Linked DNA regions of Drosophila melanogaster. Changing the gene in region 1 together with any one later gene gives a genetic interaction. Each region holds a gene or a part of one and is shown in the gene's direction. Other genes may lie near its edges.

Region 1 (5,482 bases):
CATGTTATTGTCAGAAGTTTTTTTTAAATCTAATGGAACGTTTTAAGCTGATATCTATTCCATATGCTATTGGACTTCAGGAACACTTTCACATTTATTGGGCGTACCCTAAATAACTAGCACACATGATGGGCTGGGTCGAATCCATATCATTGATTCCATTGATTGGTGACCCATGCCAGCTGATGTAACGGTCACTTGGTGGATCAGCTGCTCCTAAGCCAACATTTGCACTAAACTGTCCTTGCTCTCGTGCCAAGAATTGGCACAGCTGCCGACTCCATTCTCCCGGCTGCATCCCCCGCCACTTCTTCGAGCCACGAGAACAATGGACTTGGCCCGGACAATGGTCGGCGCTAAGAAATAGTGACTTTTCAGGGGCGCACGGGTTTTCCTCTGGCTTCTAGCGGGCCCTAATTGCTGGCAAGCATCTTACATAATATTGAAGAAGATGCGTCTCCGAATGGATTTCGTATGGAGTGTGCCTGATGCGAAACAGCTGCTCAAGATCTCAAAACTATGAACACGAGGAAGGGTTGCGGGGAGATTAGGTGGGATTTGTTCGCTGTAAAGATTTGCGGTTGCAGTTGCGGTGGCACATTTCAAGACCTAACATCTGTCGTAAAAAACATCTAGTTTCGAAGCCCCCAGCCAAAAATGAAATGTATTTAGCATTGATGAATACGATAATAGAAAATCAACTTTTTAGTGCTATAAAAAAGTAGTGCTATAAAAAAGTACGAAAGTACATACGCGTATGTTTTTAATCGTTAAAGATGCACCCAAAAAAGCAATATAAAATTAGTTTAAGGAAGCTAAAGTAAATATACATATAAATAGACTTAATGAATAAAATCGACTTTCTCCTTATATTTTGGGTTAATCAAATGGTTTCGGATGGTCATAAATGTTAAATGTATTAATAAAGCTTAAAATAAAGTTTGATAAAGAATGAAAAAGAATTCATTAAATAACTTTTTAGAACAAAAAATATGTATTGAGATCATAAAATGCAATCGACAATCAAATTAGTAAGAATAACAAGAAACAAGGGGATCTCTAGCCACAAAATTCCACAGAACTTCCCTCGATTTACCTTTTCCCTTGACGACAACAACTGTAAATCCTCCAATAAGTACAGTCATCCCCTAGGGTAAAAATCGAGCCACCGCGAGTCATATCAATTCATAAATGCATATTAATTCCGATAGAGGCTAAAATTAAAACAGGAGTCGCTTTGGAATAATGTGAGAAAAAAACTTTCTCACGATCACCTTGTTGTCGCGCAGACGGCGTTTGGTGGAAATCCACGTGCAAAAGGGGGAAGTTCGGAAGCAAGGAAGGCTGGATGGTAGGAAGGAAGGAAACCACCACCACCAAGCAGGCGGAGTAGGACGCAGGACCCTCTTAATGGTGGTGGTTAGTACCTCCCTCTCCCCCTCCCCCTCTACCAGTGACGATCGCCAGAAGTGCATGAGAATTTAAATTACAAACAAACCGAAACGCAGAGCGCACAATCAACGGGCTTTGTCCGTGTGCGTGTATGCATCGGCATGCGATGACGCGTAGAGGGTGGGGTAGAGAGGGTGCCAGGACGAGGCGTGTGTGGGAACTTTCGACGAGGACACTCGAGCATGAAGCGGGTCAAACGACAGAGGCCAGTTATTATCCAGCTCCTTTTTATGGCACTTCTCACACGCCCACAAGGGGCGTTAGTTAGCTCACTAACCTCTTTCCAAACAGAGTCGAATGGAATTATAGCAAGTGTGAGAGAGAAGCGAAAGTCGAGTTCTCAGCGTCACAATAACAACACCCACGCGACAGAAGCATCTTTAGTTCTCAGCGAGAGAGATAAGCTCAGCTTCCTCTTCTTCTTTCTCTGCTCCTTCTGCTGCTCTCACGGGCATGCGCAACATTGCAACAAAAATTAAAGGGAACCCGTAACCACAAAAGTCATGGGCGTAGTGAACAATTTTATTTAAAAACCCGTTATGGTGTACCATAGAAATTAATTCCCTATAAAAATGGACAAACATAAACTGAAAATGTTTTAAAATAAATATAGTTCGATATGTAGTCAAAAAACCCCTCAGTAATCCACCCCTGCTTAAGGCAAAAGTCAAAGTCATCTAGACGGATAATTTCTTCCTGTGCATCAGCGGGCGATTGTAATGCGATCCGTGGCCACTCCAGTGCAGTCATTCAGGCCAGAAATCTGGAATCCCAAGTGCTGGGACACATGAATGCGTTTCATTGCCTATTTTTAAACATAACATTCCATTTCAAGTGATAAGGCCACCAGAAAATAGTTCTCTTTGCCCGTTTGCATGTGCATTGCTGCGGCAGTATGGGTGCGTGTATCTCTGTGTGTATGTGTCGCATTACTCATGCGCTCTCACTCCAAGCGTCGTTTGGTATATTCGCGGCTCTCGTCCGGTATTTTCCAGGGTCACACTGCGCCTGAGCTGGGGCGTTGTTGTTGCCTGCGAGAGCGGAGCAGAAGTATTTATCGCGTTGCAGCGCACGGTCCTACTGACACAGAAAATGCAAGAAAAGTAAGAGCGTAAAAGAGCTGGCGTAGGCGTGACAAAAGCGGTGAAAAAGCAACGGTTCTGTGCAAGCAAAGTGAATAAATACAGTGAAGCCCACCTGCGAACGAATATCGAAGGCTCAAAGGCGAATTTGGCGCTATTCCAATGAATAGTCCTCGCTCGAACGCGGTTAATGGCGGCAGCGGCGGCGCCATCTCCGCTCTGCCCAGCACTCTGGCCCAACTGGCTCTGCGCGACAAGCAGCAGGCTGCGTCGGCATCGGCGTCCTCTGCCACGAACGGCAGCAGCGGCAGCGAGTCCTTGGTGGGCGTCGGTGGACGACCGCCCAATCAGCCGCCCAGTGTGCCAGTGGCCGCCAGTGGCAAGCTGGACACCAGCGGCGGAGGCGCCTCCAACGGCGACTCGAACAAACTGACCCACGATCTGCAGGAGAAGGAGCACCAGCAGGCGCAGAAGCCACAGAAGCCACCGCTCCCGGTGCGCCAGAAGCCCATGGAGATCGCCGGCTATGTGGGCTTCGCCAACCTGCCCAATCAGGTCTATCGCAAGGCCGTCAAGCGGGGATTCGAGTTCACTCTGATGGTGGTGGGCGCCAGTGGGCTGGGCAAGTCGACGCTGATCAACTCCATGTTCCTGTCGGACATCTACAACGCGGAACAGTATCCGGGCCCCTCGCTGCGCAAAAAGAAGACCGTGGCCGTGGAGGCCACCAAAGTAATGCTCAAGGAGAACGGCGTCAATCTGACACTCACGGTGGTGGACACACCCGGATTCGGTGATGCCGTTGACAACAGCAACTGCTGGGTGCCCATACTGGAGTACGTGGATAGCAAGTACGAGGAGTACCTGACAGCCGAGTCGCGGGTGTACCGAAAAACCATTTCGGACAGCCGGGTGCACTGCTGCCTCTACTTCATAGCGCCATCGGGACACGGACTCCTGCCGCTGGACATTGCCTGCATGCAGAGCCTGTCGGACAAGGTAAATCTGGTGCCGGTGATCGCCAAGGCGGACACCATGACGCCCGACGAGGTGCATCTATTTAAGAAGCAGATCCTTAACGAGATCGCCCAGCACAAGATCAAGATCTACGACTTCCCCGCCACGCTGGAGGATGCGGCCGAGGAGGCCAAAACCACGCAGAATTTGCGCAGCCGAGTGCCATTCGCGGTGGTGGGTGCCAACACCATCATCGAGCAGGACGGAAAGAAGGTCCGGGGTAGGCGTTATCCCTGGGGCCTGGTGGAGGTGGAGAACCTGACGCATTGCGACTTTATAGCGCTGCGCAACATGGTCATACGCACGCACCTTCAGGACCTCAAGGACGTGACGAACAACGTCCACTACGAGAACTACCGCTGCCGGAAGCTATCCGAGCTGGGATTGGTGGACGGCAAGGCCAGGCTGTCCAACAAGAACCCACTCACCCAGATGGAGGAGGAAAAGCGGGAGCACGAGCAGAAGATGAAGAAGATGGAGGCCGAGATGGAGCAGGTGTTTGACATGAAGGTCAAGGAGAAGATGCAGAAGCTCAGGGACTCGGAGCTGGAGCTGGCGCGGCGCCACGAGGAGCGCAAGAAGGCGCTGGAGCTGCAGATCCGGGAGCTGGAGGAGAAGAGACGCGAGTTCGAGCGCGAGAAGAAGGAGTGGGAGGATGTCAACCACGTGACGCTCGAGGAGCTCAAGCGACGCAGCCTGGGGGCCAACAGCAGCACGGACAATGTGGATGGCAAGAAGGAGAAGAAAAAGAAGGGTCTGTTCTAAGTCAACACGCTCAAAACCCCCATTCCCCAAACCCCCTTCCGCTCCTCGTATACTTAAGCGCTAATCTCGAGAACAAAGCAAATGAAAACCCTAGCGTATCCTACTCTTATTCCTACCACATAAAGTAATTCGAAAAGTGCATAAATATATCTATTGTTGGGCCCAGCCGCCCCACAAGGCTTCTATTCGCACAGCAATCGTCCAGCGACGGCGTTGCATTTGTTTTCTACATACTATACAAGTACATATAACACATAGCAGTTGCAGTATTTTACCAATATATATCCACGCATTACTTGACGAAACACATTTGCTAGCCTAATGAATTGAACACGCAAACGAATTAAATCGAGACAGTAACAAACGGTATTTGCAAAATACTTAAGTATCTTAAAGCCTAATCATAATAAAAACTAAGCAGAATGTACGAGTGCGAGGCGAAATTGATCCTAAAATTAATTATAACGAATAACGAATCCATGTATAACGTATGCTATTGATATTGTAATTGTATTTTACCTATTATGCATAAAGTCATTGAACACCCGAACACACACCAGCAAGGCAAAAGCCGCAAGCGCAGCAGAAAACATCAAGAAACAAAATATACTCTTGCATTTTATAAAATAAAGTCTTCTCCTTAGTTTAACTACATAAAAGCTGAAAAGCATTCCATATTAAATTCGTTGTTTACTCAACTGCAGCGGAACGGGTCCGCTTGGCACACGTCTGGGTATGATAGGCATGACGATGGATATGGCGATTTGGATATGACGATTACATTCTCAATATCTTAGTTAACCATGAGCTAATGGATGAGTCATTCCGCAGGAGCATTGACTGGGAACGTGGCTCGAGTCAAGCGGATAGGTAAATCACTCGCCGCAAACAATTAAAAGTGTTTACCTCTCACACTGCTATGTATGTATGTATGTATGTGTGATGCTTATTGGACCAGTGAAAACTAACGCGAACCGTTGGTGCCACCTAAAAGTATCATGCTTTTCGTTTCCTAAGAAATACCCTTTATGCAGTTCTTGCCCATATGTGCGACTCAAGCAATTACGAAAAGCCTGACACTCCCTATAAGTCAGTACATGTACATATACAATCTTTCGCCTTATGCGGCCACAATTTAGGTCAGAATAATAGATATTCATCGCAGT
Region 2 (4,740 bases), about 16 Mb from region 1:
CCAGATGGAGGTGATTTTCCAGGAAATGAACTCGTAGTGCCTATTGGTGCGTGTCAGCATGTTCCAGCTCTTGAGCTCCTCCGCCTCGAAGCGCGACGTAACATCGTCCTCGATGATGGCCTCCACGCCAGACTTTACGTAGTCCAGGCATTTCTCAAAATCGAAATTGATTTCATCCTGCAAATGGGAAATGTTGTTTAAATCAGGTGCCCATTGCAATGCCGGACTCCTTACCTTTGTGGAGGAAACTGGCTTCTCTGGAGCGGGCTCCTGTGGCTGGGGCAGGAGTACCGCGTCCCTGGTAATCAATGTGGCTCCATTGGTGCCTTCTTTGGAATCGGCGTCGTCCACTAGTTGCACTCCCTGTTTGTCGTCAGTCTTGGGATTTTGAATGTGTTGGTTTTCTTTGGATGCTGTCTCTATACTAACTCGACCATACTGAAAGTAGAGGTGATTAGTTGTTAACGAGTCGAATCGGGGATTATCTGCAGATAAGATTATCGCAAGCATATCGTCGGACGAGGTAATGACTGGCACTTTACAAGTGTCTGGGAAGCGGCAACTTGGGTGCACTGGCGCACTCCTGCCCCGCAGATTCCTTGAGGATAGCCGAAGAATCTACTTAAAGCTTCCGGGCAAGCAATAGTTTCTCGAACTCGCCTGCATTGCAGTAATTGCGTAGGGCAGACGTAGTATGGCGTACTCCAAAAGCTGACTATATTTATGGACTTTGGAATAGCTTAACTATTGGTAAGACAGCACCATTTGCAAAGCCACCGCAGCAGTGGAGCACCTCAAATCGGTGCTTACTCATCTGAGGAACGAAAGCAAGCAATATTTACCTCGAATATCCTTAGGAGGAGGTTCACGTACGCTTTTCGGACGCCGATTGATTTGTTTATGGCGGAAATAAATATGAGAAATGAGAGGAAGCCCCCGATGGGGATCCAGAATATGTCCAACAGCACGGCGATCATTTTACATTTGTGTCATGCGACATTAGTTATTGTTAAGCGAAAAATGCCTCCGAATTGTGTCGTGCCAATATATACAATGTTAAAATACTTTTTGCTGTAGACCGAACTAGCGATGGACCTTGACTGTGTCAAAAACCTGTCTCGTGCTCACAGACCTGGCCCGCGCTCATCTCTACGGGGAACAAACGGAAAGGGGACGATTCCGGTCGGGCAGGAGACGGAACGGCTTCTTGTTCCACTGCCAATCGTTTTGAAAAGGGTTGAATGAACGTGCACTGAAAACAAAAAGGCACATTTACATTCAGATTATATTGTTATTGGGTATGTGTTTTTGACAGACCTTTACCTGCACTTATTACTTAAATCAACAAGGCACATTTACAATCAGTTTATATTGTTATTGGGTGTGTTTTTGACAGACCTTTGCCTGTACTTATTTTCACTAAACAAAATGTTATAAACCAATAAATAATAATTGTTAGTCTAATAATTTATAGTCTGATATTATGGAACACAAGTGTGTGGGCTATACACACACCATAATTTAATATCTACTTTGTTTTGTGCCTTATTAATTACAAAATATAGAATAAATCTTTAGCTATAGCTAAAGGAAATCGACAAAAGTCGTAATCGGCTTGCGGAATACCCCTGGCATTCCGCAGGTGCAGCCACGAAGCCGATTACATGAGGAACGCTAGTATCGGAATGGACAAGTGGACGGGGATAGCCATCTGGCAACACTGGGATAAATTTATTTTATGTTGGCAGTTCCGTAATTATTATTATTACTATTATTTATTGCAACGAAGTTTAGTTTTTAACACCTTAATGTTATAGTTTCGCGCAGCGCGATGGAGTGATACGTATATGGAAGAACATATATGTGCGCGTGCCTAATCGCTAAGATAATTCTATGTAGTTTTCGTTTGTATACAATAAGTGCCTTTTATATGTTAACGACGATGTCAGCCAGCAGCAATACAAACAGCCTGATCGAGAAGGAGATCGACGACGAGGACATGCTTTCGCCGATCAAGTCCAACAACCTGGTGGTGCGGGTCAACCAGGACACGGACGACAACCTGCAGGCGCTATTCGACAGCGTCCTGAATCCGGGTGACGCCAAGCGCCCGCTGCAGCTGCCCCTGCGCATGCGGAAGCTGCCCAACTCCTTCTTCACGCCCCCGGCGCCCTCGCACTCGCGGGCCAACAGCGCCGACTCCACCTACGACGCGGGCTCCCAGTCGAGCATCAACATCGGGAACAAGGCGTCCATCGTCCAGCAGCCAGATGGCCAGTCGCCCATCGCCGCCATCCCCCAGCTCCAGATTCAGCCGTCTCCCCAGCACAGCCGCCTGGCGATACATCACTCCCGAGCCCGCAGCAGCCCCGCCTCGCTGCAGCAGAACTACAATGTGCGCGCCCGGAGCGACGCAGCAGCAGCCAACAATCCGAATGCCAATCCGAGCAGCCAACAGCAGCCCGCTGGGCCCACTTTCCCAGAGAACAGTGCCCAAGAGTTCCCCAGCGGCGCCCCGGCCAGCTCGGCCATTGATCTGGACGCCATGAACACCTGCATGTCGCAGGACATTCCCATGTCCATGCAGACAGTGCACAAGAAGCAGCGCTCCTACGACGTCATCAGCCCCATTCAGTTGAACCGCCAACTAGGCGCCTTGCCGCCGGGATGGGAGCAAGCCAAGACCAATGATGGCCAGATCTACTACTTGAAGTGAGTTTGGGCAGATTTTAAAAATGATATGCATGAAGCTTTATTTAATACGTGTCTTCTTTATGAACTTATGAAAACTAAAATATTCTTGTGAGTCACAGAAATCTCATTGGCTTCGTTGGATGTCTTTCAAGTTTATCTCTTAATCATTACTAGCTCAACTAATACCCAAAACAGCAATCTCAACAATGGTGTTCTCTCTACTTGCAGTCATACTACAAAATCTACGCAGTGGGAGGATCCCAGAATCCAATATCGCCAGCAGCAGCAAATCTTGATGGCCGAGCGAATAAAGCAGAATGGTAGGTTCTATCTTAGATGTAATGCCTTAGATAAGCAAGTCGTTAACTGCCTGTGGCTGCGTCTCATTGTTAACCCACTTAAATCAGCCATCAGAGGACTAATTAATGCTAGAGACCAGGCAGGGATAAGATAGGCTCTAACTCATTCCAACTAACGCATGAACAGCACAGTACACAACCGATTTCAGGGAGTCCATTCCGTCCATTTTGAGCGCGCCAATGCACTTTTCGGGATTGGGTTGGAGTCTGATCATTTTGGCATTCGGAAGTGGGAGCTCGATTGGATTTGCTTTGAGCATACTCCAATTGATTTTGATATGTGCTGCATGCTGGGCGCCAGTGCCCCTCCGTTCTCATCCGCTTACACACTGCAGCATTACGTTGAAGACATATTTTAATTTGTTTTTATTTACTTTGGTTTGTAATTCATTGTTTTTGTTCGATAGATGTTTTGCAAACTACAAAACAAACTACCACATCGACCATTGCTAACAATTTGGGTCCACTGCCGGATGGTTGGGAGCAGGCAGTTACCGAGTCCGGAGATCTTTACTTTATAAATCACATTGATCGAACGACTTCATGGAATGATCCCAGAATGCGTAAGTCTCGTTCCACCACCCCGACTAGCGTAAGACAACGAGACACACAGATATCGTAGCGATATCGCTAGATAACATTGAGTGCGCAGTGGGCGGGGGGCCGATCACGTAATTCCCATGGCATCTCTGCTTTCACTATATAGTATAGTACTGATCTTGAGATAGAGGCCGAACACTCCACACTCCTTATCGCTCCATGCCTCGCCTTTACTAACTTAACGCCTTCCCTTACCGTGTATCTTTGCAGAATCTGGGCTTAGCGTGCTCGACTGCCCAGATAACTTAGTGTCTTCCCTCCAGGTAAGCATTCGCAGTTGCCGACCGCCGAGTTGGCGAACCGAGTTCCACGCCACTACCTCACTTTGCCCACTTTACGCTTTCAGATTGAGGATAATCTTTGCAGTAACTTGTTCAATGACGCACAGGCCATTGTAAATCCGCCGTCTTCCCACAAACCTGACGATTTGGAATGGTATAAAATTAATTAATTCAATGTATACATCTGTATTAGACCTAAAAGTTTTATATTTTGTATTATTCTAAATTAAATATTTTTCAAATTTTATAGTATTTCTTTACATAAACGAATTTGTGTGTTTATCATTATTACTGGGCGCCTTGTTTCTGGGTTTTAAAGCTTCCGACGATCAGTGAACGCACTGATTGAAAAGAAGATATCTGATTCAGATGACTTTCGAACGCCGAAGAGAGAGTTCAGGTGGATGAAAGGTGTGGTCAGCAGCGATGACTCATGCCGAAACCCGAATACCCCGACTATTGTAAAGTGCAAGCCAAGTAACCAAGTAACCAGAATGCGGCGTGCATTTGGACCAGAATGCACGCGATTCATGAGCTTCATTGAGTTCGATCTGTGACCGACCCAGCAGATTCAGCTTTACGTGGAGCCAAAGACATCCATGCTCATCGGTGTCATTCGCTTGCGAATCTGTTCGCGTTCGCTCTTTATCAATGCTTACCCATGAGTCACTTTTGCAAATATTCTTCTAATTTAGCATGAATTACTTATTTTCGTGATGTCAAGCTAGTCATCGTTTGAATTCTTTCAACAGCTTTCATAGATGATAAGAGTTGGACTTGGGTTTTTCACCACAGCTTTGTTTCAA
Region 3 (7,026 bases), on another chromosome or scaffold:
CAGGGTCATGGAATTTATTTCCTGGTGGGTCACCTTCATTTTGTTTAACAAATGCCAACAGATTTCACAATGGGTATCTTAAAGATATTACCCAAAAACCGAATAAATACATAACTGACTATTTTGAAAAAAAAACTCGATTTTATGATTTTATTAGGAATGAAGAGGCTCCAAATAACTGTGTAAATGTGTTTAGGATTTGAGTTGAATTTGTTATTTAATTTTTAAGTGTAAGTGTAGAAATAGTAACAAAATAATGACATCAAAGAACCGAATTTCAAATAAAAAACGGGACTCATTTTCTACTTCGTTTGCAATAAGTTACTATTTATTTATTTCAAACTCAAGAATGTCACACTACAAATTATAAAATTAATGTTATACAGTTTCGTTGTCGGCATTTTATACTTTTTCCTTGGCTTTCATGTTACATGGTCAGTTGTCTTAGAGTAGAGTTGTCCTTGGTTCTATGCAGCGGTAGTCTGTTGCTGCTCCTGGGTGGTCGTGGACTGCGCCGAAGAGATCTCCCCAGACTTTTCGTTGACTCCCAGCCAGGGACAGCGCTTCTGCAGCTCCAAGCGGTATCTGGGGTGACTTATGGCATAGACGAATGGGTCTATGCACGCCACCAGTTTGCAGGTGCAGGCCGGGATCATCGTGGCTCCTGGTGTAAGCAGACTCTTATCCCCGAATGCCCCGATCAGCGACATTACGCCGTAGGGCGTCCACGACACGAAGAACAGGAAGCAGATGGTGATAGCCGCCTTCGCAATCCGTATCTCCGCCGTCTCCTTGCTCTTGTCCACATTGGAGCGCAGCGACTCCACGTTCATTTTCTTGGCCTGCTCCCGTAGGGCCTTTTCGTGGCTGAAGACATGGCCCACGATCTGCGAGTAGTAGTAAAGGATCATCAGCGTGGGACACACGAAGCTGAAAAAGAAGATGGTGCCCACAAACAACCGGGTGTCAAAGTTGTCCGAAAGATAGTCGAAGGAGCAGGACGTGAGGTAGCCCTCTGGAAATGCATAAAAGTGAAGAAGATTAATGGGATTTTTGGTATTAGGATATTTATTTACTTCATATTCGTAAAACGCAATTTTACTCTTTCGTAAATTTGTTTCTTCGAATTTCCCGATCCAAACTAAGTTCTTAAACATTCCCGCCAATGATGTGACACAAGGTCAAGGTATCACCAATCAATATTTTTATTTAATTTTTTGTATTGCCTATATTATTTGATTGGAAATACTATAAATCATAAAAAAGTATTTATTAATGAATTATTTTAAAAATTAGGCTTTAGTTGTCAATAAGAGTAACAGACTACATTATTAACTTTGATCCTTTAAAAATTATGCGCCTGATTCGATTTGTATTATTTCAAAACTGATGTTTTCCTGTTATTAAATTAATTTGACAAACGTGGCAAGGCTGTTAAGTAATCGATGACAGCAATTGATAGCTACCAGGAGGCACTGCGATGTTGCCGATTGCGTGTAATCGACTATCTGGAATCGAATAGACGACAATTGGGGTTCCATCTCTGCAACCGACGCGGACATTAGAAGAAACTCAGTATAGTAAAGTAAATTAATTAATTAACCAGCTAAAGGCAGACATCACGCCCAAAGTACATGGAGAATGCCGAAAAAGACTGAATTCCACACCGCGCAAGGGCAAGTGCAATAAACGCCGACTGCGACGATCAAAGAACGCAATATAGAAAAAGTGAGACACACGAAAAAAACCCATTTCGCTGCCTGTGTGTAAATGCAAATGGTTTATTTTTGTGCAGCAACAACAACAACACAACATCAGCAGCAGCAGCAACACAGAGGCAGAAAAGGCGAAAATAACTAGTAAAGCTAAATATGAATAAATGTGTATGTGTGCGGGTCGCGTTAAAGAAAATTAGATAAAAAGCCAAATGAAATTAGCTCACGCCTGAATTTCGAGTTTCGGTTCGGTGCAAGGTGAACGAAAAGGCGAAAAGCAATCAAAACAGTTTTTCCATTTTCCCAGTGTGCGTGTGCAGTAGCAAAACCACCTGCATTGGTTATATATATATATGCGGTTAAAAAAATAACAAATTGCAACGTAAAAAACGGAACTTGCACCTAGGATATATACACACACATGCTGGCTGTATGCGTGTGTGTGTGTGCATGGCCGTAAAGGCTGACTGACTGATAAAAAAGGAAACAAAAAAATAACAAGAAAATAAAATATACACATACACACACACACCAACGCAGCGGGGCACCAATACCTCGGCACAATTTCTTGGAGGCAGCCTGCCATGTAAGTTTACATATCAACGATTATGTATTTCGCAGTTGTTGTTGCTGTTTAAACAGCAGCCTAGTCGCACTTAATGGCGGCATAAATTAAAGAAAGATAGTCGCATTTCGCTTTGCTCCGCAACTTACGTTTTCTATTTTACCATTTTGCAACTCATGAAAGCAGAAGCTAAGTTAATTATATTCATGGCTATGACTTTTGTGGCAATTACCATTTTTACCCCGTATGAACGTTTCCAACGGTACGCAACGTAAACGAACTGTTAATTATGTGTGTGCGATCTGTGTCTGTGTTGTAAGTGTGTGAGTTTCCCTCCCCGCGGCTGCCATCCCCTACCGCCACCCACCCCCTACACATCCTCGTTGCATTTGTTACGTTACGCACTCTTCATTACGATATTACGTTTATGCGGGCGATGGTACGAATTTCATAATGGCAAATGTTCAAATAATTTTTCCAATATATAGGGTAAAGTATTAAACATTTGTATGTTCATGCGTTTCATGTGTTTTTGTTTTGGGTTAATAAGGAAACATATTATTTATTTTTTAGGTTTGAGTTTGTTTTCGAATATAAACAATATTACTGAACTCCTTTCACACAAAATTTTGATAGCAATCATATAGCAAATATATTCCCGTTAGGAAAGAGAACAAGTTTTGTTTGTACATCAAAGCTAAACAATTACGAAAACTTTATATTATTATATTGATATTTATCTTATAAACGCACCAAAGCACCCACAGCATATTGTTCACACTAATGTGTGCCCATTCTGTCCAAAGTGGACAAACCCGTGAAACCGAACCACACCCATTACAACCAGCACGACACCCACCATCGCACAATCCCGCCATGGGTCGACGTCCCTAATGGCCGTCCATCAGCGTCGGCTCCGTCAGCTCCGCCTGATAAGAGCCAACATATTTGCGCCGTTCCACACGTGCCGCCAAGAGGCTTTTGGGCTTGGGCTCGGAGTTGGAATCGGAATCGGGCCTTCATTTCGATCGGAGACGTGACGGCGACCTCGGGCTGTGTCTTTGCTTTTCGCAGACCAACTCCGGTTCGATACGTTCCGCTTTAAGTAATTGCTTAAATGCAATTCCCATACACGCAAATGCGTGTGTTTTCTTTTTTCGGTAATTACAACAATTGGGAATCCACGGCAAGGTTAAGGCCAGGAATGATAAATCGCTTTGGCTTTTCTATTGGGCGGCACGAAAAACGAACTACCTAGTAGTAGTGATTACGCGAAATAAGTTTTAAATTAATAAGGCTCAAATTAAATTATTACAAATGGATAGTAGTTTTGCTGGGCAACATTTTTTATAGCAATCGAGTAGATTTTGCTTACACAGTTTGCATTCATTTCATTTCTATTACTTCATGGAAAAATATTTTTGCCTATTACTCATGTCCCAGTGGGCACAATAGTTTGGAATGAACATTCAAATCAATAGTATGCTCCGAACTTAAGCCGCAAAATCGATAGAAAGCTCATAACATATGTTCAAATTTAAACCAGCATTTATGCAGTGTGTTATACTGTGATTTTTTTTGTTGGTTGATATATGTTATTTTTGGATTAACTAAGCCTAATCGAAACAAACTATTTTTGTTAAGATATCTGTATGGTTTTGTAGGTTATTGTTTTTTGGAGTTTCTTATCACTGAACGAACAAAATTACAAAAAAAAGAAAAAAAAATTATACATATGCTATGACTAAATTGACCGCATTACTCACTGACCTGTGATTGTATCTCATTTTAGACAGAAGCACAAGAAAGCCATTGCCGAAGCCACCGGGAGGGCGAAGAACCTGAACCTGGCGAGAATTGCAGGGACCCAGAAGAATTGTAGACACATTCGTGCCGTTGCGAGAACCCTTCCAATGTCCAATAAAATCAACCCGAAGCGCCGCGAACCGACAGCAGCAGCAGCAGGAGCCGGTGCCACGGGAGTGGCCACCAACACGAGCACCTCGACCGGATCCTCCAGTGCCGGCAACACGTCCTCGGCCAACACATCCTCGTCGTCCAGCTCCTCGCTGTCGTCCGCCGGTGGCGGTGATGCGGGCATGTCCGCCGACTTGACCTCGCTGTTTGAATGCCCCGTGTGCTTTGACTATGTGCTACCGCCGATCCTGCAGTGCTCCAGCGGGCACCTGGTGTGCGTGTCCTGTCGCTCCAAGCTCACCTGCTGCCCCACCTGCCGCGGTCCGCTGGCGAATATCCGCAACCTGGCGATGGAGAAGGTTGCCTCGAACGTCAAGTTCCCGTGCAAGCACTCCGGCTACGGATGCACCGCCTCGCTGGTTTACACGGAAAAGACAGAACACGAGGAGACGTGCGAGTGCCGGCCCTACCTGTGTCCGTGCCCGGGCGCCAGCTGTAAGTGGCAGGGCCCGCTTGACCTAGTCATGCAGCATCTGATGATGTCGCACAAGAGCATCACAACGCTGCAGGGCGAGGACATCGTGTTCCTGGCCACCGACATCAACCTGCCCGGCGCCGTCGATTGGGTAATGATGCAGTCCTGCTTCGGCCACCATTTTATGCTCGTGCTGGAGAAGCAGGAGAAGTACGACGGACACCAGCAGTTCTTTGCCATCGTTCAGCTGATCGGGTCGCGCAAGGAAGCGGAGAACTTTGTCTATCGCCTGGAGTTGAACGGAAACCGACGCCGGCTCACCTGGGAGGCAATGCCGCGTTCGATCCACGAGGGCGTCGCTTCCGCAATTCACAACTCGGACTGCCTGGTGTTCGACACGTCGATTGCGCAATTGTTCGCCGACAATGGCAACCTGGGCATTAACGTGACCATATCTCTGGTCTAAACGCACTGTCAATTCGTCGGGTTCTTTCATTTCTTGTGTTTACTATTCCGATACAAATACATATATAGTTTATAGCCCTCTGTTCGCATCAGGCGTCTAACTCGTGGACAGATTGTGAGTCTGGAGATTAAGAAGAAAGAGTTTTGCAGAGTTGTTTTATAAAAATGATTCTCTATTCTAAGAGCCACTTACATGCATATGTATATATATCTATGGAAATATCAGGCTGCTTCGATTATCACATTCGGCACGATATCGCAGTTTTCTTTGATTTTTAAGCTAAGACACTCACAATTTTCCAAAGCGAAATGGAAAGCGTATTAAAGCAATTGCTAAGTGATGTTCAGTGTTTATTGCACACGTTCGTTAAACCTGTAAAACCGCGTTTAAAATTCGTATTTTCATTTTTAGTTTGCACATGACTGTGTGTAAATCTCACTCGTTTGCAGAAAAATGCCAAATATTTTTGGTGAGATTTCGCAGATTTGTATAACACACTTTCCTGTCGAATGCGAAAATCGTGGCTGACCTGTATGTTTGTATGTTTAATCGGTTCGATTGGTACTCTAGTTCTAGGACATGATTTTTCAGTTACCGCACACACAATACTATATATTTCAAAGTTTCAGTGTTACCCGTTTTGTTAGTTCATGGGGTTCTGCTTTAGTTTAATTTAGTTCGTAAGGTCCACACACCTGGAGCAGAGCTGCCTGCGCGTGCCCACGTGCCCACCACCTACTACAGTGAACGCTAGGAACACACAGACCCACTCACCAAAACGAGGAGAACAGCAAGAAAGGCGAGGAGGTCACTCATCCACTCGAACATGTACTGCAAAGTCTAGTTTAGTTAATGTAAATTATTTTATACAATACTTGTAAATGGTAATAAGTAAAACGAACAGTTTAACGAAATTAACAAACCTAATAACCCACAAAGAAAAGTAATATTTGATAGCGATAATCTGTAATAACTCGAGAGTTGTTTGAAAGTTGCAGCCTAAACGAAACTGCGACCCGCAATTTTGTTCATGCCAAACCATCACAAAATAACAAAAACACACTAAAAAAAAAAGAAAACATTTTTTTTCGCAATGCTAAAAAGACAGTTGCCCCTTCCCATTTCCCCCCAAGTCCCCCCAAACATATAAAGCAATGTTAATGTTTAAATTTCTATCTAGTTAAGACGATCTCCCCGGTTTGGCTCATGTTTTGGTTTTGATTTCCATTCGGCCAACGTTTCCCAATCGAAAACGGAAGAAAAATTAATGATTTTAAGCATCTGCACCGTAATTAGCTTTTAATGCGCCGATTTACCGCGCCACTACCATATGAGATCACTCACACAGACACAAAACTACAAAACTGAAATAAACATGATTAGTAAAAGTAAACAATGCTCGTTAATTATTGAAATTAATCTGGGGGAAGCTGAATTACAAAGAAGAGCTACGCCACTTTATAAACTTGTCGATTTAAATCAGTTATCTGTTTAATTTGGATTATCTTTGAGATACTTGGGTTACTTCTAATGCGTTTTAAAACGTTGCAATAATAGATGGCACAAGTTTTTAGTGGTGCACCGCCGAAGCATCTTAAAGATTTAGCTGGATTGGTATCTTACTAGGATACTTAGGCCAATTTCAAAAATAAATTTTTAAGCTGATTTTAAAATGATTTAAAGCAAGTAGGCTCCGAAGTAAAAGTAGCTCATTATACTTTTAGCTTCGTTGTATTGTGGTACAGATTGTATTTTCGAATTCTTTTAAGCAAAATTTCAGTGTTCAGAAAAAGTAAAAAAAAAGTAAAACCATCGGCACTCTCATTCTTCAGAATCGTTTGGTTGTTAGGTCTTAGGATTAATAGCTTGCGCATTGATTGTTGGCTGA

What was found. Genes that interact genetically often act in the same process or in processes that back each other up.
Region 2: of pnut (region 1) and yki, changing one enhances a phenotype caused by changing the other (phenotypic enhancement), as found in Drosophila melanogaster (one study listed by BioGRID).
Region 3: of pnut (region 1) and sina, changing one enhances a phenotype caused by changing the other (phenotypic enhancement), as found in Drosophila melanogaster (2 studies listed by BioGRID).

The regions. Positions count from the first base shown.
Region 1 is NT_033778.4:8,235,361-8,240,842, forward strand, and holds pnut (peanut), read left to right. Parts: upstream 1-1,910; 5' UTR 1,911-2,696; coding exon 2,697-4,316; 3' UTR 4,317-4,937; downstream 4,938-5,482. UniProt on the Drosophila melanogaster protein: Involved in cytokinesis and possibly cellularization. Also acts as an enhancer of the sina gene, thus having a role in photoreceptor development. May be involved in p53-dependent apoptosis.
Region 2 is NT_033778.4:24,065,437-24,070,176, reverse strand, and holds yki (yorkie), read left to right. Parts: upstream 1-1,691; 5' UTR 1,692-1,861; coding exon 1,862-2,712; intron 2,713-2,922; coding exon 2,923-3,014; intron 3,015-3,460; coding exon 3,461-3,616; intron 3,617-3,863; coding exon 3,864-3,916; intron 3,917-3,999; coding exon 4,000-4,104; 3' UTR 4,105-4,202; downstream 4,203-4,740. Other genes in the region: Gpat4 (Glycerol-3-phosphate acyltransferase 4), read right to left, coding at 1-177, 235-438, 843-977. UniProt on the Drosophila melanogaster protein: Transcriptional coactivator which is the critical downstream regulatory target in the Hippo/SWH (Sav/Wts/Hpo) signaling pathway that plays a pivotal role in organ size control and tumor suppression by restricting proliferation and promoting apoptosis.
Region 3 is NT_037436.4:16,852,225-16,859,250, forward strand, and holds sina (seven in absentia), read left to right. Parts: upstream 1-1,526; 5' UTR 1,527-2,301; intron 2,302-3,694; exon of another isoform or gene 3,695-3,760; intron 3,761-4,072; 5' UTR 4,073-4,193; coding exon 4,194-5,138; 3' UTR 5,139-6,488; downstream 6,489-7,026. Other genes in the region: Rh4 (rhodopsin 4), read right to left, coding at 468-1,015. UniProt on the Drosophila melanogaster protein: E3 ubiquitin-protein ligase that is required for specification of R7 photoreceptor cell fate in the eye by mediating the ubiquitination and subsequent proteasomal degradation of Tramtrack (ttk).